Saccharomyces cerevisiae S288C: one gene and its partners. The protein of the gene in region 2 purifies or fractionates together with the protein of the main gene of each other region. This does not show direct contact. Each region holds a gene or a part of one and is shown on either strand. Other genes may lie near its edges.

Evidence for each region.
Region 1: the proteins of BRX1 (region 2) and RLP7 purify together in Saccharomyces cerevisiae (affinity purification with mass spectrometry; 4 studies listed by BioGRID). This does not show direct contact.
Region 3: the proteins of BRX1 (region 2) and PUF6 purify together in Saccharomyces cerevisiae (affinity purification with western blotting; 4 studies listed by BioGRID, with this or other methods). This does not show direct contact.
Region 4: the proteins of BRX1 (region 2) and HAS1 purify together in Saccharomyces cerevisiae (affinity purification with mass spectrometry; 4 studies listed by BioGRID). This does not show direct contact.

What each region holds. Positions count from the first base shown.
Region 1 is NC_001146.8:623,880-628,855, reverse strand, and holds RLP7 (Rlp7p), read left to right. Parts: upstream 1-1,713; coding exon 1,714-2,682; downstream 2,683-4,976. Other genes in the region: ribosome dissociation factor DOM34, read right to left, coding at 240-1,400; PET8 (Pet8p), read left to right, coding at 3,027-3,881; HRB1 (mRNA-binding protein), read right to left, coding at 4,235-4,976. UniProt on the Saccharomyces cerevisiae protein: Involved in the biogenesis of the 60S ribosomal subunit. May act as a specificity factor that binds precursor rRNAs and tethers the enzymes that carry out the early 5' to 3' exonucleolytic reactions that generate the mature rRNAs.
Region 2 is NC_001147.6:184,712-189,526, forward strand, and holds BRX1 (ribosome biogenesis protein BRX1), read right to left. Parts: upstream 2,013-4,815; coding exon 1,137-2,012; downstream 1-1,136. Other genes in the region: AVO1 (Avo1p), read left to right, coding at 1-501; ATP19 (F1F0 ATP synthase subunit k), read left to right, coding at 727-933; MDM20 (Mdm20p), read left to right, coding at 2,313-4,703. UniProt on the Saccharomyces cerevisiae protein: Required for biogenesis of the 60S ribosomal subunit.
Region 3 is NC_001136.10:1,440,354-1,446,288, forward strand, and holds PUF6 (Puf6p), read right to left. Parts: upstream 3,051-5,935; coding exon 1,080-3,050; downstream 1-1,079. Other genes in the region: CORVET complex subunit VPS3, read right to left, coding at 1-797; myo-inositol transporter ITR1, read right to left, coding at 3,360-5,114; SEC20 (Sec20p), read right to left, coding at 5,490-5,935. UniProt on the Saccharomyces cerevisiae protein: RNA-binding protein involved in post-transcriptional regulation. Component of the ASH1 mRNP which transports the ASH1 mRNA to the distal tip of the bud, where the ASH1 protein is translated and targeted to the daughter cell nucleus.
Region 4 is NC_001145.3:848,438-854,081, reverse strand, and holds HAS1 (ATP-dependent RNA helicase HAS1), read left to right. Parts: upstream 1-2,490; coding exon 2,491-4,008; downstream 4,009-5,644. Other genes in the region: protein kinase TDA1, read right to left, coding at 1-1,452; aminodeoxychorismate lyase ABZ2, read right to left, coding at 4,273-5,397; U2 snRNP complex subunit HSH155, read right to left, coding at 5,596-5,644. UniProt on the Saccharomyces cerevisiae protein: ATP-dependent RNA helicase involved in 40S ribosomal subunit biogenesis. Required for the processing and cleavage of 35S pre-rRNA at sites A0, A1, and A2, leading to mature 18S rRNA.

The DNA of each region.
Region 1 (4,976 bases), on a different chromosome or scaffold from region 2:
ATACATAAATAAATTTTAACATTAATATATAAAAAAATAATAAAAAAATGTATATTTTTTAAAATGTTTTAAAATATTTTTAAAAAGCTGCACGTGACTAACTAGAACCATTTCACAACAACTCAATTAATTGCGGCTTCACATCTACTTGCTTATAGGGAAGAAGTAAAGAGAATAATCCGATTTATTATAGGGTTGCAAATTTTATGTGTACATTACTTTTTTCTTACATAGTAAATCTACTCCTCACCATCGTCTTCATCAAGATCGGGGAGCGGGTATTTTAGAATACAGGCTATACCCGTCAATTGATCAAGTTCTTCTCCAAGAGAATGCAAAGTACTTAATACCAATGCTTTTCCTCCATTGCTCTCTACGGAGTCCATCAGTTTCAAATATTCCTCTCTTTGTGCAATATTGTCTGAATGCAAAACTTTATCTGTTAACAGTAAATAACTAATTGCGCCATACTCAGCCGCTTTAACTACCTCTTTTTCACCATACCAAGCTTTATCATCATCCTTGTTTAAATGCAACAAAAATTCATCCATCACCATGATTTCTTTGGAGTATTTAGTATCTTGCAGCTTTGAAGCATATAGTGGATTTTTCAAAACTTCATTAATGCCCTGTAAGTAGCCCGTGGAGCAGTGGGCTATAAAGAACATTCCTTTGTTATCGAGTATTTTCTTATTGTGTTCCTCTTCGGCATACTGGAAAATTTTGTCCATTAATATCTTAGCGTAGAAACCTGGAGAGCAAAGAATAATAGTCTTTAATTTATCAAAATTCAAATCTTTCTTCATTGCACTGTAAATTGCTTTATAAAATTTCTCAGTTTTTTCATCAAACTTCAGTACATCAGTAGTCCTTTTCTTTTTTGGCATACTATATTCAATTTTTTGTTTTAAAATAGTAGAGGAGGATGTCACTAAACAAACATGGGCGATCCCTTCCTGTAAAACGACCGCCGCGGTGTCTGATTTATACTCGATATTACAGGCTTCATTTAAGAGCTTTTGCATGAATTTATTAAAGTTTTGTTTTATGATAGTAAAGGGATACACGTAGTCAAGGGTAAAGCTCAAATATTTGCCGACAGGTATGTCAACATTACTAGCTCCACTTTCATCTGTAACAGTAACACCTTTATATTTCAAATATTCATCCTTCATATCAAAATCCTCGGATATTACTTTAATCTTCAACTTGACCAAATCTGTACTTTTTTTCTTACCAGCTTCATCAAGTTTAGAGGTGAATTTTTTCTTGAATATCAACTCGTCATCTTTGTCTACTATTTGATAAACAGTAAACAGATCTTCCTTGTCCTCCGGTAAAAGAGTAATCACTGCTCCTCCTTTGTTAAAAGAATCCTTTTTCAGACTAATAACCTTCATATTTTTGCTATGATAGGAATGCGATAATTGAACAAAATGACAACGATGCAGCAACGAATGCTTAATTTTTTGGGATCTTCATTAAATTACATTTTACATTAATATACAAAACTAGGTGAATATTGAATAATGTATGTACACTTTCATCACGCAGTACGGATTTTTGGTAAAAAGAAAATTTTTTTCAGCTCTGCTTAAAAAAAGCTGGGAAGCGATGAGATGAGAAAAGTCTAAGTTGTTTGGTACTTTCGTTATTAAGTTCCTAGAAAGAAGAGGCTGCCACAGGGAAAAAGAATAAGATATACAAGTCACAATGTCTTCAACTCAAGACAGTAAAGCGCAAACTCTTAATTCTAATCCAGAAATTCTTTTGAGGAAAAGAAGAAATGCTGATAGAACTAGAATCGAAAGACAAGAATTAGCTAAGAAAAAGAGGGAAGAACAAATCAAAAAAAAGAGAAGTAATAAGAACAAATTTGTCAGAGCTGAAAGTATAGTTGCAAAGACTTTGGCTACCTCTAGGGAAAAGGAAAGAATTAAAAGAGTGTCTATATTAGAAGATAAGAAGGCAAAGAATGAAACGCAGCATATTGCATCTGGGAAAGATTTTATTCTGAAAATAACAGAAAAAGCTAATGGCGCCGAAGAGAACTCTGTCGACTTGGAGGAGACTGAAGAAGAAGAAGACGATGGTTTAATCAGAGAAAAGACTACTTACGATGGCAAACCTGCTTTACTTTTCATTGTCAGAGTAAGAGGTCCGCTTGCTGTAAATATTCCAAACAAAGCATTTAAGATTTTGTCTTTGCTAAGATTAGTTGAAACTAATACTGGTGTTTTCGTCAAATTGACCAAAAACGTATATCCGTTGCTCAAGGTTATTGCGCCATACGTAGTGATTGGCAAGCCTTCTTTATCTTCTATCCGTTCCTTGATTCAAAAGAGAGGTAGAATAATCTATAAGGGTGAGAATGAGGCTGAACCTCACGAAATAGTTCTTAATGACAACAATATTGTCGAGGAGCAATTAGGAGATCATGGAATAATTTGTGTTGAAGATATTATTCATGAGATTGCCACTATGGGTGAGTCTTTTTCTGTTTGTAACTTCTTCTTACAACCATTCAAGTTGAATAGAGAAGTATCTGGATTTGGTTCTTTGAATAGGCTAAGGAAAATAAAACAGCGGGAGGCTGAATCAAGAACTCGTCAATTTTCAAATGCAGCTACAGCACCAGTTATCGAAGTTGACATTGACTCTTTATTAGCCAAGTTGAATTAATTAAGAGAGTATTTTAAAATTGTATAGTACATAGGTTGTTAGTTATCTAATGCCATTGAAGGAGCAGATATTGAGCTTTTGCATATAATTAGTGGTGCCTCATGGATTGAAGAATATACGTATTTTGGCAAGTTTATTGGTTTTTAGTTTATGTATCGGCAAAAGCACGGGCGCCTCTTTTTTTCCTCGCTTACTGAGCGCTGTTTTGTATATAAATACATTTGCAGTGGGGTGCACCCTCGAGAATATATGAGATCATTAAAGCTCCACTTGTTGTAAATTGTTTGGCGATTTTATATGTTTAGACACACCGATGAACTAAAATTCGCTTTGAAAAGTTTGCTATGAATACTTTTTTTCTTTCCTTGCTAAGTGGCGCCGCTGCTGGTACCTCTACGGATTTGGTTTTTTTCCCTATAGACACAATTAAAACCAGGCTTCAAGCTAAGGGTGGATTCTTTGCTAATGGAGGATACAAAGGCATATATCGTGGTTTGGGAAGCGCTGTTGTAGCATCGGCGCCAGGTGCTTCACTTTTCTTTATTAGTTATGATTATATGAAAGTAAAATCAAGGCCATATATCAGCAAACTTTACTCACAGGGATCTGAGCAATTGATTGATACGACAACGCACATGCTTTCCTCTTCCATTGGTGAAATTTGTGCTTGTCTTGTTCGAGTTCCCGCAGAAGTCGTTAAGCAAAGGACGCAAGTTCACTCTACCAATTCTTCCTGGCAGACTTTACAGTCAATTCTACGAAATGACAATAAGGAAGGTTTAAGGAAAAATCTTTATAGAGGGTGGTCTACCACCATTATGAGAGAAATACCGTTTACTTGTATACAGTTTCCTTTATACGAGTATCTAAAAAAGACTTGGGCAAAAGCCAATGGCCAAAGTCAAGTGGAGCCATGGAAAGGGGCTATCTGCGGTTCTATTGCGGGTGGGATCGCAGCAGCTACAACGACACCATTAGATTTCTTGAAAACCAGATTAATGCTCAACAAAACAACCGCCTCACTTGGAAGCGTTATTATTAGGATTTACAGAGAGGAAGGTCCTGCTGTATTTTTCAGTGGAGTGGGGCCCCGGACAATGTGGATCAGTGCAGGTGGTGCTATCTTCCTAGGCATGTATGAAACTGTTCATTCGTTATTATCGAAAAGTTTCCCAACGGCTGGAGAAATGAGAGCGTAATGAAAACATAGAGCAAAAGCAACTACCAGTTGTAAGAGGTAGATCGTTTACGTACTTTACGTAAGCCTTCTGAGGCCTCTTGTCTGTTGTTTATTTTTTGTTATTCATATAAAAAAGTCGTCTATTTACGATATCTGTTCAAAGTACTTTTTTGGATATTTGTTAAACCCATTTTCACTGTATTGGAAAAATCAGACTCTTTTCACAGTCTTCTTCAAAGTCTTCGAAATTTTTTCAGATTATACGTATACACAATGACATTATAAAGTTAAAAAGCCTGGAAATAAGTCAAGAATGAATAAATACTTGTCGCAGATCCAATAGGTGAGAAAGTATATAGATCGAGAGTAGTTCTAGAGGCGTTTAGCGTACGATATATCCAAATCACAACCCCCATAGTTATAATTATTCAATCTTTCAATACAAACATCTGCATCATCGACGTTATCGTATTCAACGACAGCTATTCCAGTTGGTGCCCCTTTGGAATCATACCTTAATTCAGCATTGTTAACCTTTCCGATTGTCTCGAAAAGGTCGTAAAGATCACTTTTTGCAGTTGAAAATGGCAAATTACTGCAATATATGAGTCTATTTCTTTCACCTCCACCGACAACGTTTTCGGTAAATTTTCGAGCTTCTTCGTTAACGGGAGAATCATCCATTGGGATATCAACATCGTCTCCATCACTGTGGTTATGTACGCTTTCCTTAGACTTGACATCCAAGACGTTACCCTCTATACTATAACCGTTGTATTTCTCAATCGCTCTATGCAGATCTTTAATATCATAAAAGGACACCGTACCAGATCCAGTGGATACTCCATCGCCATCCAATTCCACATCAGCGTGTGCGACATTCCCACATTCCTTGAATATGTCTTTCAAAGCCTGCCAATTAACGGAAGCAGGTAAATTTTTTACAATAACTTCATGTGTTTTTCGGTTATGTCTAAGCTCTCCTCTATCGAGTGCTTTCCTTTCCTTGATATTGTTTGACGGTGGTGGATTATCTTGCCTGACGAAGATTTTACGATCCATGAAGAAGGCCCCATCGTACTGGCGGATGGCCCTGTCAACATCATCCGAATTA
Region 2 (4,815 bases):
CTCGCCAATGGAAATGGGTTTTTCAAGAACAAGAATTCATCCAAATCCTCTTTGCATGGGACACTGCAGTTTCATAATATAAACCGTTCTCAGAGTACGATGGAGCACACGCCTGACACTCCAAATGGAGTTGGAGATAACTTCCAAGATCTTTTTACCGGAGCGTATCATAAATATAAGGTATGGAGAAGGCAGCAAATGTCATTTATAAACAAGCATGAAAGAACACTAGCCATTGATGGCGACTACATATACATTGTACCCCCGGAGGGACGTATACATTGGCATGATAATGTAAAGACTAAGTCGTTACACATTAGTCAAGTGGTTCTTGTCAAAAAATCCAAAAGAGTCCCTGAGCATTTCAAAATTTTCGTAAGAAGAGAGGGGCAAGATGATATCAAAAGGTACTACTTTGAAGCAGTTTCAGGTCAAGAGTGTACTGAGATCGTGACGCGATTACAAAACTTATTAAGCGCTTATAGAATGAATCATAAATAAGTAAAACCCATTATACTGCATCTTACCAGCATTAATTTTGGTTTATATCTAAATATGGTATAGAAAATACTTCATCGCGATCTCGATGGTGATTGGTCAGAGTCCGCTTCTCGATGCAAAGGGAAAAAAAAGAGCTTTTTAGGAGCAAGTCCCCCCATAGAGCACATAACTCGTTAGCATTGAATAAGGCCAGGTGACTTCAAATAATAATTTATAACTACGACAATGGGTGCTGCTTATCATTTCATGGGGAAAGCTATCCCTCCACACCAACTAGCCATTGGGACATTAGGACTGCTAGGTTTATTGGTTGTTCCAAATCCTTTTAAAAGCGCAAAGCCAAAAACAGTCGACATCAAAACAGACAACAAAGACGAGGAAAAATTCATTGAAAACTACTTAAAGAAACATTCGGAAAAGCAAGATGCGTAAATATAGCTTGATTGCTGCGCGGTTGAAGATCTTTTGTACATACAATAAATATTCTTTATATATACAGCTTTCGATATTCAAGATTTAAACATTAAATTATTAAAAAGAGGTCTATAACTAGACAGTTGCTACATCCACTCTTTTCTTGTTATATCTTTTTAATATACAATGTTATGTAAAACTCTCTGATAGTATTATGCTTATTATTTAAACAAGGCATCGTTTGATAAAGGATCGGCGGCAAGAACATTCTCTCTTCTCTTAATTTTTCTTTCCACAGCAGCTTCAGCTCTAGACTTTGCCTCCTCAGCAGCTTGTTGTTTAATTTGAGCTCTTACGACGTTTGGCGAAACATATTGTTTATTTTCATAGATCTTTGGACCACCAAATGAACCTTCTAGGATCAAAATGACAGTCATAACAAACCTAGGGCCAATTTCCACTAATGATATGTCTTCTTCGCCATCTTCATATTCTTCTTTGTTCTTAGTACTGTGTGAGATCTCATATGTCCTCACCCATATTTTATCATCTACAATACTGAAGGACATGACGTGATCAATAAATGGCTTAGATTTTCTAGCATTTGGTGGTACACCAAAATTATGCACTAGCAACTCCTTAATTAATTGGTAGTGTGGGGAGGATTCGAAACGTTGATCAAACGACAATACCGGACGAGAACCCTTTAAACAGTTACCTGTAAAATTCAACTCATCCATAGTATGCAAGTTTTGAATGTAAAATTTTATAGTTGGCCCATTTGGCGGCTTGGATAACCATAGATACAAATCTTGGTGTTTTCTGGCCTCAAAGAATAGAACATTATTACAATTGTACAACTCAGCGATTTCGTTCAACTGTTGAAGATCCTTTTTAGTATCCAATTTTGGCTCCTTTCTGGAATGAGGCAATAATCCGCTTAAGTCTTGAATTAAATGACGATGTCTATAGTTAACACCTCTACTCGAAATCAGAAGAGTTCTTTGCTTGTTCATAAATTGCTTGACATTGCCTTGCTTCTTTTCAGATTTATTATCTTTGCTCTTTCCTGCGAGGGCTTTGTAGATAGAAGACATCTTTGGTTGAACTCTTTCAACACCTGACGAATGTATAAAGAAAGACGTGAAGCAAAATAAGGCTAAGTAACCTTCTAACTCGTAAATATTATAGCAATTTCTGTATCTTTTTAGGTGATAGATTCTTTGAGAACCATCGCGATGAGCATCTAAAATTTTTCAGTCACCTTTAACGAAAATCACTGTCCACGGACCGCCGAGGGCTTTAGGAAAATAAATAATAAATGTCAGCTGCAACAGAATTCATTGGCGAAGCAACGATACATAACGAGCTCGGTACAGCAATCATCGCATCGAAGCATGTCCGACAAGATACAGGAGGAGATATTAGGACTAGTAAGCAGGTCCAACTTCAAACAATGCTATGCAAAACTGGGGCAATTGCAAAAACAATTTCCCAATGCGTTGTACTTCAAGATTTTGGAAACCTATGTTAAATTCAAGCAGTCACCTGGTAAGTTCGATTACAATAAACTGCTAGAAGAACCATATGGGCTGAAAGGGACAACGATTACGGGCGACACGCGTTCCTTGGAGTTTTTGCACAACTTCTTCGTAGAGTTAGGGAAATACGACGAAGCATTGCACGTGTATGAAAGAGGAAATTTCAAATTCCCTAGCTACGAATTGTCTTATCACTGGTTTATGAAAGCATTGGAAGATTCCAATTATAACCAAATGAGCAAAGCATCTCTACAGCTAGCTAAATACAGTGACAGTGGAAACCTGCCTAAAAGAGCATATTATTTTTGGAATGCAATCTCGATTTTAGCCGTATCAAGGTTTCAGGAAAACACTCTTTCAGATCCCAAGAAAATTTTGCTCTCCAGGCTAGCGCGCCAGTCTTTGTTAGACTTGAAACCATTTCAAAATGTTCAAGAGATTATAGTTTATTGTTTGGTGTTGGATGAACTATTCCCTCAATCTAGAGAAATCTCGGAAGAGATTGTTGCGATTACCTTTGCCAATTTTGATACTTCAGTAAACTTGTATTTGAAAAACTTTATCTTGAAGCATACCAAGTTATTGAATTCTCCACAAAAACTTTTTGAAGTTTGTTCAAAACTTATTGAAAAGGGCCTTGATGATTATGAATTGATCACAAACTTGATTGATGCTGCCTACAAACTTTCTAAATCTAAAGACGAAGTCAAACAATGGATTGATGAAAATTTGGGAGACTCAAGGAATACTCGATTGGCGCGCTTGAAACTTGATATAATGTACACCGATTCGGTTTCGGAATCATCTTTGTCGTACTATTTATCAAAGTACCATAACAAACCTTGTTGTTCAATCGATTTGAATCATTACAGCGGCCACATTAACATAGATATGCTTAAGAGCATTATGTCTAAGTACGATCCAGAGGATAAGGATTTGATTCATCATTGTAATATTCTAGAATTGGGACTTATTGGAAGCGACTCAATCAATAACTATAACAAGTTTAAGGGGACCCTGGAAAAAAAATCGGTAACGGATTATTCCTCCTGTTCTACATTCTTATTAGAAATAGTCAAGGACAAGTGCAAGAAAACTAATCCTGAATTGAAAGACGTGCTTTTGTGTATAACGATATTGGAAAATTACCAAGCCAAGGACCCTCATAACTTCGATACTATGTGCTGGCTGATTGTTTTATACATGTACCTGGGTTTAGTTCCCGATGCTTATTTCCATTTCATAAACCTAAAGATTAAAAACGTTCAAACAGATTCCCTAGATTACATGATATTCTCGAGATTTTCTACTTTGTTCCCGAATAAACAGAGCGATTTTTACTCCAAGACATTCCATGAACATAATAATTTATACGATACATCACTGGCTAATTTACCAAGATATATTCAGGTGGCATTCGAAAGAAATTCATATAGCAAAATACTAGGAATGCTCGAGATGAGGGATAAACTAATGAAATCCTATACAAGATGGACCAAAACTTTAGAAAACTTACAGTTCTCACGTTTATGCAACGACAAGCGCGGCCACCTACTACAAAAATTACACGAAGATTGGAGATCTTTAGAAATGACGCAAAGTGTATCATTTTCTGACAATAGAGACTTTTCCATATTAGATGAAAATTTTGCCCAATTTCTTAACCGTGGTAAAATTTTGGAATATGCTAACTTGAATGAAGAATCAATTTTTCTAACTTTGATAAGAGAACTTATTATTGAAGCTTTGCCAAATGGGGAGAAAACGGAACAAATAAGTGCGCTCTTAAAAAAACTTCCATCAATTAACCTTGAAGAGTTGTTGAATAATAATTTAACTGAAGTGGAGTCAGCGTCATTTCTGATTTTTTTCGAAATTTACGAAAATAACGGTAAAAATCTACATGATTTAATTTCTAGGTTGATGAAAGTCCCAATAAATGCAAAACAAAACTGGATGGTATCCCATACTTACCTTACTAAAATGGCAACCTTAAAAACACTAGACAGTTTGAAGAGAATCAAAGATAAAGAAATTCAAAAACTAATCAAAAACTCCCTCAAGGAGTTGAGGAGTTGTTGCGATGATGTATTTAAAGGTTATTCTAAAGCTTTAGTACAAGCATATGAAGAATTAAAAAAAGATGAATGTGGCAACTTGTTAAAAGAACTTGATGTTAAAGCTGAAAATGTCAAGAACATTAAAAATTCATTACTAGGCATCCAAAAAAGTGTAAGAAATTTATGAACAAAAATTACATCTCCATTATAGAGCAGTCGCAGATAGACAATTTTCTTTTATTTTTTTTTTTTTAGGTAGATAAAATAACATGTATCGCAAGACTTTTATATCAGCAGCC
Region 3 (5,935 bases), on a different chromosome or scaffold from region 2:
GAATCTGCAGATATTTTGAGTAGTCTTACGCCTTCTGCGTGAAATGCATATATTCTATAAGCCTTCGAGCTTCGGGAAAAATTACAAATAACGACATCACTAATACCTTTAAGTCTAGTTGTGTTGGGCCTTGGTGCAAATTCTGGGAGAATAAATAAAACTAGTTCGTTATCACATAATATTAGTGCGCCTTCTACTTTAGGTAAAAGAAGGATTTTGTCTATCTTCGAATTTGATTCTGCATCAAACTTTGTTTGCGACACAAGCATATAGTTTCCACGTTCAAGTTCAAAGTAATGTAAAAGATCACCTGTAGTTGTTCCCAAGAATATGTGGTTCTCATACGCCTCACAACATGTGTATATCAAGTCAGATGGTACATTGTCTAATAGGGTAGAGATTGTAAAAGGACCTTCGCTTATTTTCAGTGGCAACCCTTTTTCCTGTTCATCATTCGTGGAGGTTTTTTCATTTAAGCTTGTAATATCTGTATTTATGACATTATCTTCTGCGCTGCTAGGCTGACAGCTTTCTTGTGCTGTGTTTTTATCAGTATGTGGACTGTCTTCGATTGGTCGACTCTCTTCCTGGGAAAATTTATCAGCTCGTACTGTTTCATTTGGGTTAGCATTATGTGTATTCGTCTCTTCACTTTCTGTTGCACGTAGACTATCATCTTCTGTTTTTTTTTTGTCATTTTCTCTTTCGTGAGGTGAGGATTCGCTATCTATATCGAGCTTTCCTTCATTTTCCTTTACTTCTTTTCCTTTGTCATTATTCGTTTTCTTTTTTACCATGGTTCTATAATATTATGGTTGCAACCAAAAAAAGGTAGTCTCCTTGACTGTTATGATAGTTCTGATTCACTAATGTCGTTATAAAATAGTAAGTACATATGAATATTTCCAGTTAAACTTGCCTTTTTTTCCCATCGGAACGGTATCTTCAACAGATATTATGCGATGTAAGGAGTTTTTAGGAGACAATTATATATACCTGCACTTTCAATGAGATCAAGCTTTTTATTATTATTGTACAGATGCTTATATACCAAATATTGTGACTTTATCGTAGAAAATTTATTTTAACAATTTAGCCAAAAGCTGAGAGCCTTTGTTACTTTCATCAGTGGTGATTTTACTCTGAACTCCTCTCAAATCCTTCAAAAATGGTTTCCCTTCTTTTTGATCTTTTAACGTTTCATACAGTGCAACAATTGTAAATGAACTATCAGCGTTATTAATCCATTCTAACAAGTTGGAGGAGTCAATAATTTCATCGTATAACTTTTCAGCAAATGGAACGCCTAAGCCTTGAACATTTTTTAATGGTATGACCTTTTTTTCTTTGTTATTCCATTTACCACCTTGAATTAGTGCCTTTAATAGTCTAGTAGAAAATGCTCTATGTATTGGGTGCTCTTCTTCGGTTATGTCACCCTTAAAAGTAGTTAAAATGTTGTTTAAGACCTGTTGATACTTTTCTTGGTCTTTTTCATTCAGCTGCGCGTACAACTCATCGTTTATTAGAACTTCGGCAATGAACTGACAGCCTAGATTCTCTGTCAATATACTGGAATAATCTTTTGATATAGTGCTTAAAAACATGGGGGCGAATTTTGACAAAAGTTCGTGCCTTCTTTGTAAAGGATCCTTCTTAGAGGTGGCTTTGGACAGTTCAATGTATCTCAATAATTCATTCTTGACGATAGGTGAGAAATACTTACCGTCCAAACCTAATAGTATGTATAACCAAGGCCTTCTACCAAACTTATCAATTATGAATTCTTGCAAATGTTCCTTAACAGTAGGACTGAAAGTCTTGAATACTAAAACTGTATCGTCAACACAGTTCAGAATTGTAATGAAGACAATATTACCGTACTCATTTTTGATCAATTTTTCGGCGTGGTTTTTCAAAGCCTTTAAAATTAACTTTCTTTCCTTGGCGTTAGCTCTAGCAACCAAAGTACAAGCAACGTCTGAACCTTCTGGAGTATGCACCAATTCAGCGAATTGTTCATGAAGCAATTCGATCATTTCAGATATTTCCTTTTCGTTGGCTATTTTCACATATTCTCTCATAGCAGCATGTAGAATTTGAAAGCCGGTGGAACCCTTTTCTACTGATGCGGTAATGGTACCAATCAAGTTTCTGGCGATAATATTCCTTTTTTCAATGCTACTTTCACAAACTTTCTCAATGGTCAAATCTTTGTGGGTTTCTCTAAATACAGCATATTCAGAGCCCCAAAACTCTTTAATCATTTGTTGTCTTTGTTCATGTGTGGCATAAAGAACAAATAAATCTTCAACAACGTAGGCACCCTCACGATGTCTCATTAATTTTCTCAAAGAACCGTGTAATTCATTTATTATAGTTTGCCTTGAACTTCTTGAACCATAATGCAGTAACTTAACCAATAGATACTTACCGTACGCAGATGTGGCTAGAACATAAAATTTTCCCTTTAAAGCATCGACAATTTGTTCACGACGATCTTTGGACGAATACTTGACTAAAGTTTGAACAATACGGGAAGCATCATGCTTTAAGACAAGATCACTGATACAGTCCTTAGATAGCTCCCAGATTTCGTTGGAAAGTTTTTCACGAATCTGTTTTGGTAAAGGTGGGGTCTTCACACGCAATCTTTCCCAGACGGATTTAATTTGTTGCACTTGGGTACCAGATTTTCTTTGCATTTTCCTTTCTTTTAGCAGTTTTCTTTGTTCAGTGTGATTTCCATTTTCACCTCCTTCAGATTTGTCCTTTCCTTCTTTCTCTTCATTCTCATTTTCATGTTCCTCACTGTCATCGGAAATATCTAATTCGTCAGCTTCTTCTTCTGCTTCAGAGTCACTGGTACTTAAATCATCCAAATCATCATCATCTGATGAAGAGGATACAGCATCTTCCTTTTTGGATAGTTCTGATTCTTCATCAGACGAATCAATAGAAATTCTAGGTTTTTTGGCTAATTTCTTTTCTGAATGACTAACTTCTTTAGCAGAACGTTTTCCGTTTGTCTTCTTGGTTAAAGGTGCCATTGTCAGTTAATTTGTTATTCCTGATTGTGCTTTATTTCAGTACTCTATAATAAAACGCTTTCACCTTCGAAATACTTTAGGTAGGCATCTCATCTCATCCCAGCAAAAAAAATTTTCAGTATTTCTCTCAAGGTGAAAAAAAAAAAAGGTCTTCAATGCCGGGTTAGTTAATCTTCTATATATGCATACAACAATTAGTTCGACTTAAATACAATGAACTTTTTTCTATCTTGTAATTTATTTTTATTTATTTTCTACTATGTATTTGAATATTCAATTGCGTCTCCTTCCTTTTACCTCGTGAAAGGACTATATATCCTCTATAATCTCTTGAGTTGGTTCATATTTCAATTCATGAACTCTGGCAACTTGCTGTTTTCTCTTCTTGGCCAAAGCTTTCGAGGCTTTGATGTTGAACCCGTCCTTCAAAATAGTTTGTACCTCTTCTAACTCCAATCCCGATAATTCTGGATAACAGAAGTAGCAGAAAATGGTTGATAAGCACGACAATCCCGCGAAAAAGGCAAATGTACCTGCAGGAGTGATATTCTGTAACATGGTCAAAAATGTGGATGCAATAACCAGTGAACCAGCCCAGTTTGTAGCAGTTGCATATGAAGTCCCAATACCTCTCACGTTTTGGGGGAATAGTTCCGATTGTTGCCATGGAACAGTACCGATACCAAGAGCGTAGAACGCAGCAAATACGATAATAAATACGATGATCACAATACCCCAAGAGGAGAAACCGGAGGAAACCACCACAGCGACAGCGCCATCAAACTTAATACCTAGAAAATGGAAAGCAATAGAGCACACGACTAAAGCCATGGTCATGCCTGGTAATCCAATCAATAATATGGTTCTACGGCCTATTTTGTCAATGGAAAAAAAGGCAACTAAAGTGAAAATAAAATTGGTACCGGACACGATGATTGAAACAGCGGAAGAATTTTTGAAACCGACAGTTTCGAAGATGGTACCAGAGAAATACATCAACGAATTCCAACCGGTAAACTGTTGAATTGCTTGTAAACCACAACCAATGATCAAAGCCCTTAGATTAGATGGTACTGTGTGCAATTCTTTGATGGTATTCCAGACTTTTTCAGGGACATTCTTACCAGGAATAGATTGATTCAAAGTAACAAGTTCTTCCACCTTACGTTCAATGATTTCCTCCGAAGTGTCAGTGTAACTTCTCTTCAACACCTCAGTAGCCCTTGCCAAGTCGCCCTTCATAACGTAGTATCTTGGAGTGTCAGGTAAAAAGCACAGGCATGTGAATTGCACAGCAGTGGGAATTAGTGACAATCCAACAAGAATTCTCCAACCATTGTTGACGTAGTTTAACCCAGCACCGCAACCGTAAGCGACTAATTGACCACCAGTCAACCATAAGGAATTGATGACAGTTAGTCTCCCTCTGATCATTTTGGGAGCAATTTCACTGATGAAAAGTGGCGCGATCAAGGAGCCGATACCGACACCGAAACCCATGATCAGTCTACCAACAGCCATTTGCCAGAATGTGTGTGCGGAGACCTGTAAGATTGCGCCAATGACAAACATCAGATTCGAACCCATTAAACAACGTTTCCTACCAAATATGTCAGCTGCAGTACCGGCGAAAATACTGGTAATCAAAGCTCCCAGAGAGGTAGCCGCAGTGACAATTTCCTTCTCCCCATAAGTAAGTACCTTGTGGTCCAGATCTGTGCCGATCGAGATCAGCGCACTGGATATATAACCAGTGTCGTAACCAAACATGAAACCGGATATGGATGCGACAAAAGTCAGAGTGATGATGAAGGGCGAAAGAGATTGGTTAAAAGTGATCATGACCGACGTGTCATCCTCGTCGTTCACGGGTTTAATTTGAATCCTATCTTCATCATCGCTAGCGGGAGCCCTCTGTATTTCATGTGACTCAAGTGTAATTTTACCTCTCTTTGAAGGTGAGTCATGCTCACTGTTGAACTCTACACTATCAGCGTTGCCAACGGCATCACCAACATTTGATTGCGATGTCTTTGACGTGAGATATGGTATGTGTATTCCCATTTTAACACCCACTGCAGAAACAAAGAAAATGAAAGAGATGTATACAGTAGGACGACCAATAAATCTGAATAGCGCACCAAACTGAAAGAGAAGAATAGAGCAAACACCTGCCAAAGAAAAGCCCAAGTGTGAAAGGTCTTTTCTCAACTATGGCTTGATTCCTTTTATATTTTTTCCATTTTGCAACAGCGCGTTGAGCTTGGTCGAGCTTTTTTCACATGCGGTGGGGAAGGCGTATTTAGCGCAACCAGTGGGGGGTATAAGCTATACCTAACGCATGTGAAGAGAACAGAAACAATGGTGAGAGAAAATAAATGGAGAGGATGGAGAGAACTAAGTATATGCGCTTATTATGTTATATAGATGTTAAAATTATCATAGCTCATCATGTGAGACGATCCTGTCCACGGCCTCATCGACAGCCCGCTGGATACTACTGACGGCTGATACAGATGCGAATGGTTCCACAGAGGTTGCTGAGGATGTAGTTGTAGTGGCTAGAATGGGTGCATTTAGCACAAGACTGGGTGCTTGAAGAGAGGACGAGGAGCCTGCATAGCTTTTAACTAGACCTAGGGTGACGAGTATACCCTTGAAAAACTTGAATAGCAGCCAGAGGCCGAGTTTAACAGGTAACTTGAAAATACGACGCCATAGAACCCACGAGACGCAGCATAGGAGGAACCCAAGTGATAAATAGACATCTCGTTTCTCTTGATGGGAGGCATTTTCCAGTACTTTGACCAAATCGGCAGTTTTCTTGAAGACGGTTTCGAATTGAGTGTACTTGTCATCGATTTGTGTTAAGGAATTGGTTTGGG
Region 4 (5,644 bases), on a different chromosome or scaffold from region 2:
AGTAGAATTCTTTTTCACGAGGCCTGACTTGGATGATGATAAAGAAGTACCGTTTTTGTTAGCGTGAAGATAGTCGAATGTGCCTGCAGGCTTAAGAGATGTCATGGATAATGTTTTCTTCAGAGTGTCTCGAATTCTATTCAATGATCTTTCACGAGAATTAATGGTTCTATCAACGTAAAGGTCAGGCAAATCCATCTTGCTGCTGAAGGCGGTGGAAGTTTCAGAGGACCCGCCATCCATATTTAAATACGCTAGAGTAGTTGTCTTTCTTGATTTGGAAGGAGACCTCAATGTGTGCATGGACGCTGTAGAAGATACCCTTCTTATTGTTGGATGAAAGGAGAAATTCGGCGTGTCCTTAGTATTCAAAGAATTTGAAGTAGCAAAATAATCCTTAATAAAGGGATGCTGTTTCAAATTCTTAGCAGAACGCCTAACGGCCGGGTCAATAGTAAAACAGCATTGAACAAAATTCCAAAATTGTTCGTATTTAGGGTCGTGCATCATTTGTTCGTCGACGTAATAGTCACATTTTGAAATACATTCCAGAGTTTCGTCGTCTGTGGTACAGTCAAAGGGCGTATAGCCGAAGGCCATGAAATATGTCAGTACACCAAGGGCCCATATATCCACCGGACAACCATACTTGTCTAGTTTGCCAACTTGATCAGGAGTCATTTCACCGACACCTTTGCACTTGACGATTTCTGGAGCAATATACGAGATGGTTCCAACAAACTCCTTTAACGAGTTTACCTTACTTGTGTTATATTCAGCAGCAAGACCAAAATCGGCGAGAACTAGGTCGTGTGCCAAGAGATCGTATTTGAAATCTCCGTGGTGTTCACCCTGTAGGTTTTTTTCGTTTTCGTTCACTCTCAATCTGAATAAGACGTTTTCTGCTTTCAAGTCTCTATGAACAATACCTTGAGAATGCAAAAACTCGAGAACGCTCACCAAACAGGCGCAGTACGAGGTAACTTGAGTTTCGAGGTCTAAACACTGATTTTCAACAATTTTTTCATACAAATCTCCCTTCTGACACAGCTGAGTGATCAGGACAATGTTATCTGCCGTCTCAAAATAGTCGAAAAGTTGTAAAATATGGTGATGCCCCTCAAAAATGTCCAAAGAATGTTCATTCTTTTTTTCCATATCTCTGATTTTCTCGCTTATTGACCTCAAAAGGTCGAACTCTCTTTGAATAAGTTGAATTTTGTTCTTGACAGTTTGTTTCTTAATAAGCTTCATCGCGTACAAATCCTTTGTGTGTATATTCATACATTCTTTCACGACGCTAAAATTCCCATCGCCCAAGGAGTTGTGGTTGGTTACGTATTTACATTTGAAGGTTTGAGCGTCTGCATTGCTGCCACTCAGTTGCGGCCAAGGTTTTTCTTCCGGCAGGCGCTGTTGTAGCTGGGAAGCAGAAGAACTAGCTGTAGTCATATCCTGGATGTGTATTTTTCTTTTTGAACTGTTGTAATGTCAATTGTATGAAAATATCGCGGTTTGGCTGAGACAGTCGTGGTAGGTAACTGAAGGAGCAAACAAGAAATTAATAAATAAACAAGTTAGCAAAACAAATAAAAAAACTGTCACTCTAAATAGAAAGAAGTAAAGAAGCAGAAGAAGTCATCCCCGTTCGACACGTTTTCATATTCTGAGTACATGATAAACCCCGCCCTCTTTTTCTTTTTTTAGGAATCCCCCTTTCTATTGTCAGAACAAGAAAGCGGTGTTGGAATTCAAGCAGCTTTTTTTTTTTCTTTTCGTCATACAGTTTCTTTTTCAGGAGTCTTGGTAGCACCCCACCCGTGGAATCGGCGGAATAACCTAACACGTGGAGGTTTTTCCGAGGTGCCAAAAAAGGAAAAACAAAGAGAAGCTGAAATCGGAATTTGAAGAATAGCGTGGGGGGGAGGGGGTTATTCAAGGAGCGCCTGTACCGGCAACGATAGCTTCGGCGGCTAAGATGGCAAACCTAATAGATGTATGTAAAAACATGGATGATAGCAGGCGGTGAACAGCCATGGTAATTTTAGGGAGTGCAAAAGTTATATGTAAGGCTATATCTGTATCAGTTAACAGGGGTGGAAAATGATTTGATAGGCGCAATATGTTTATTGGTAAAAGAGCATCTTAAACCACTTCATTCCATTTCTCACTATCACAAGTGATATATTATGTGTATTTTGCAATCCATGACGCTTTAATGCTTTACAAAGCGCTGCTACTTCTATTTTCTTAACGTAAAGAGGAGTGTATGACGACTAAGAATTGTTTACCCGGCGAGAGTCGATTCTTCGTTACCCGAATTGAAAATTTTTTATTTGCTTTTTCTTTTTTTTTTTTTTTTTTTTTTCAATATTAGCTTTAGCGATGAGATGAGATTTTATAGTGTATACACGGTACTTGAGTACATAGCTATTGGATAACTGTATACTATAATAATTAGATAAGCTGAGCAATATTAACAGGAGAAGTATGGCTACCCCGTCAAATAAACGTTCTAGAGATTCTGAATCTACAGAAGAACCTGTAGTAGATGAAAAGAGCACTTCAAAACAAAACAATGCCGCACCTGAGGGAGAACAAACTACTTGTGTGGAAAAGTTCGAAGAACTAAAGTTATCACAGCCAACTTTAAAGGCCATTGAAAAGATGGGATTTACCACTATGACTTCTGTTCAGGCAAGGACTATCCCACCTCTTTTGGCCGGTAGGGATGTTCTTGGTGCTGCCAAGACAGGTTCTGGTAAAACTCTAGCGTTTCTCATCCCTGCTATTGAACTATTGCATTCTTTGAAATTCAAACCAAGAAATGGTACCGGTATAATTGTCATTACGCCTACAAGAGAGTTGGCTTTACAGATTTTTGGAGTGGCAAGAGAGTTAATGGAATTCCATTCACAGACATTTGGTATTGTCATTGGTGGTGCAAATAGAAGACAGGAAGCCGAAAAATTGATGAAAGGTGTTAACATGTTGATTGCTACCCCTGGAAGATTATTGGATCACTTACAAAATACAAAAGGATTTGTATTCAAGAACTTGAAGGCTTTGATTATCGATGAAGCGGACAGAATCTTAGAAATTGGGTTTGAAGATGAAATGAGGCAGATAATTAAGATCTTGCCAAACGAAGATAGGCAATCCATGTTATTTTCAGCTACACAAACGACCAAAGTTGAGGATTTGGCTAGAATCTCGCTGAGACCGGGCCCTCTTTTCATTAATGTCGTTCCTGAAACCGACAACTCCACCGCAGATGGATTAGAACAAGGCTATGTGGTATGTGACAGTGATAAGAGATTTTTGTTGTTATTTTCTTTCTTGAAAAGAAATCAAAAAAAGAAAATTATTGTATTTTTATCATCTTGTAACTCTGTGAAATATTACGCTGAATTATTGAACTATATTGATTTGCCAGTCCTCGAATTACACGGTAAGCAAAAACAACAAAAGAGAACAAATACATTTTTCGAATTCTGTAATGCGGAAAGAGGTATCTTGATTTGTACAGATGTCGCAGCTAGAGGGCTAGATATCCCTGCTGTGGACTGGATCATTCAATTCGACCCTCCTGATGATCCAAGAGATTATATTCATAGAGTCGGAAGAACCGCAAGAGGCACTAAAGGTAAGGGTAAATCTTTAATGTTTTTAACACCTAATGAATTAGGGTTTTTAAGATATCTAAAGGCTTCCAAGGTCCCATTAAATGAGTACGAATTCCCGGAAAACAAAATTGCAAACGTTCAATCACAATTAGAAAAATTAATTAAATCCAACTATTATCTACATCAAACAGCCAAGGATGGTTATAGATCTTATTTACAAGCGTACGCTTCCCACTCTTTGAAAACTGTCTATCAAATCGATAAGCTGGATTTAGCCAAAGTAGCAAAGTCTTACGGTTTTCCAGTCCCTCCAAAGGTTAACATTACAATTGGTGCCAGTGGAAAAACGCCAAATACCAAAAGACGTAAAACTCATAAGTAATTTCAGAGGATCAATTTTTAATGCTATTAATGTGTACGTGGAACCAACACAACCGAAGTATTCATCTTCTGTTCTCATCGCACTCCTTTTCCTTTCTCTGCTTCTCCACTGTATGTCATTTAAATAAATGTATAAACCGCTGTTTTCTGTTTGTTGTCTTCTACGTACGTTGTCTGTATCAACCTGCACATATTTGAGTATGTAAAATCATGATTTGTAAACTATTGTAAAAAAACTTCATTGATATGAAAATCTGTCGTCTGCTCAATATTTTGTCTTCACTGTTCCCTTTATGCATCCCATGACGCCATTGAAAAGCAAAACTTCGTTGCCAACGGTAAGGCTTCCTATATCTATATCTCCCTCTTCAATAAGGCCGAGCCGCAATAAATAATGACGCATTGTTCCGCACAAACATCCAGTTGCTAATCTTGGTGTCACATACTTTTTAGAACCGTTAGGATCTTTTTGAATTACAGCCACGTTTGTTATTGAACCTTCCATCAGCAGGCCAGATTTGTTGGAAAATAAAATTTCGCATTGCGAGACAGAAGAAGTAGGTTCTGAACCTCTTAAGTTATTTATAGCAGTTTGCATGCGAACTCTCGCCCTAGCGTAATGATCTCTTGAAGTGGTTTTAAAACTGGTGAAAGCTGATGCGTTCAATGGTTCAGATGAAACAACAACATCCCAATTTATTGTGCTATCAATTAAAAATCCATTGAGCATCGTTTTGATGAAGTATGTGGAAACACTGTCATAATCGGTTGTTAATTTTAGGATAGGCTCCATAGGCATTGGAATTGCCTCAATTCGTATATCTCCTGTCTTAGAGACAAGTACCCGCATTTTATAGCATTGCCTTTCGTTGATCATTTTTTGAATTTTTTCGTGATACTCTGAATTTCCTTCTTTACAATTAATCAAGTTTTCAACCAATAACTTCAATAAATCATTCAGAGACGTGCTGAAGTCAATTTTAAAGTATGATAATGCTATTCTTATTCTTTGGTATTGTTCATCTAATAAAAAAAATCGTTCATAAATGACTTGTAGCATATCTTCTACACGCTGGCACACAATGGTCTTGCAATCATGCTTCCAAGCATCAGGATGCTGAATATTTTCGAGAAGGTCACCGCCGGAATTAACCTCCCTTACTCGTAAATAACTTGAGTAATCCTCATTAATTATCTGCTGCCTAATATCTTCGTCTCTCAAACCTAATCGAGGGTCTGGAGTTTCAAAGATCTCTTTCTTTGACGCTGACTGGCGTGCAAAACCAGGGTCGTACCTGAAAGTGGCCAGAACCTCGAAGTTCGGATTAGCAACTAGGCCTCCTTCATCGTAACTTTCCATATCAGTCTTCCAATTGTCCATTAGTGACATCTATTTCTTATTATCCATGTCTCGCTCTTCATCTTTCTTTTACTCACTTTCACAAAATTTTTTCCTGCCCTTTTTTTTCCAATAGCAGGTTCTGTTTATATTTCATCATAATCTATGAAGGCATCGTGACGTGATGATATAGGTGTGTCAAGTAAAATATTCTTACAAGTTGTGGTTATTTATATGCTCTATATATATTCACAGAACTAAATCCAGTTCTTCTATATATTCTTCATTGTTGTCTGGT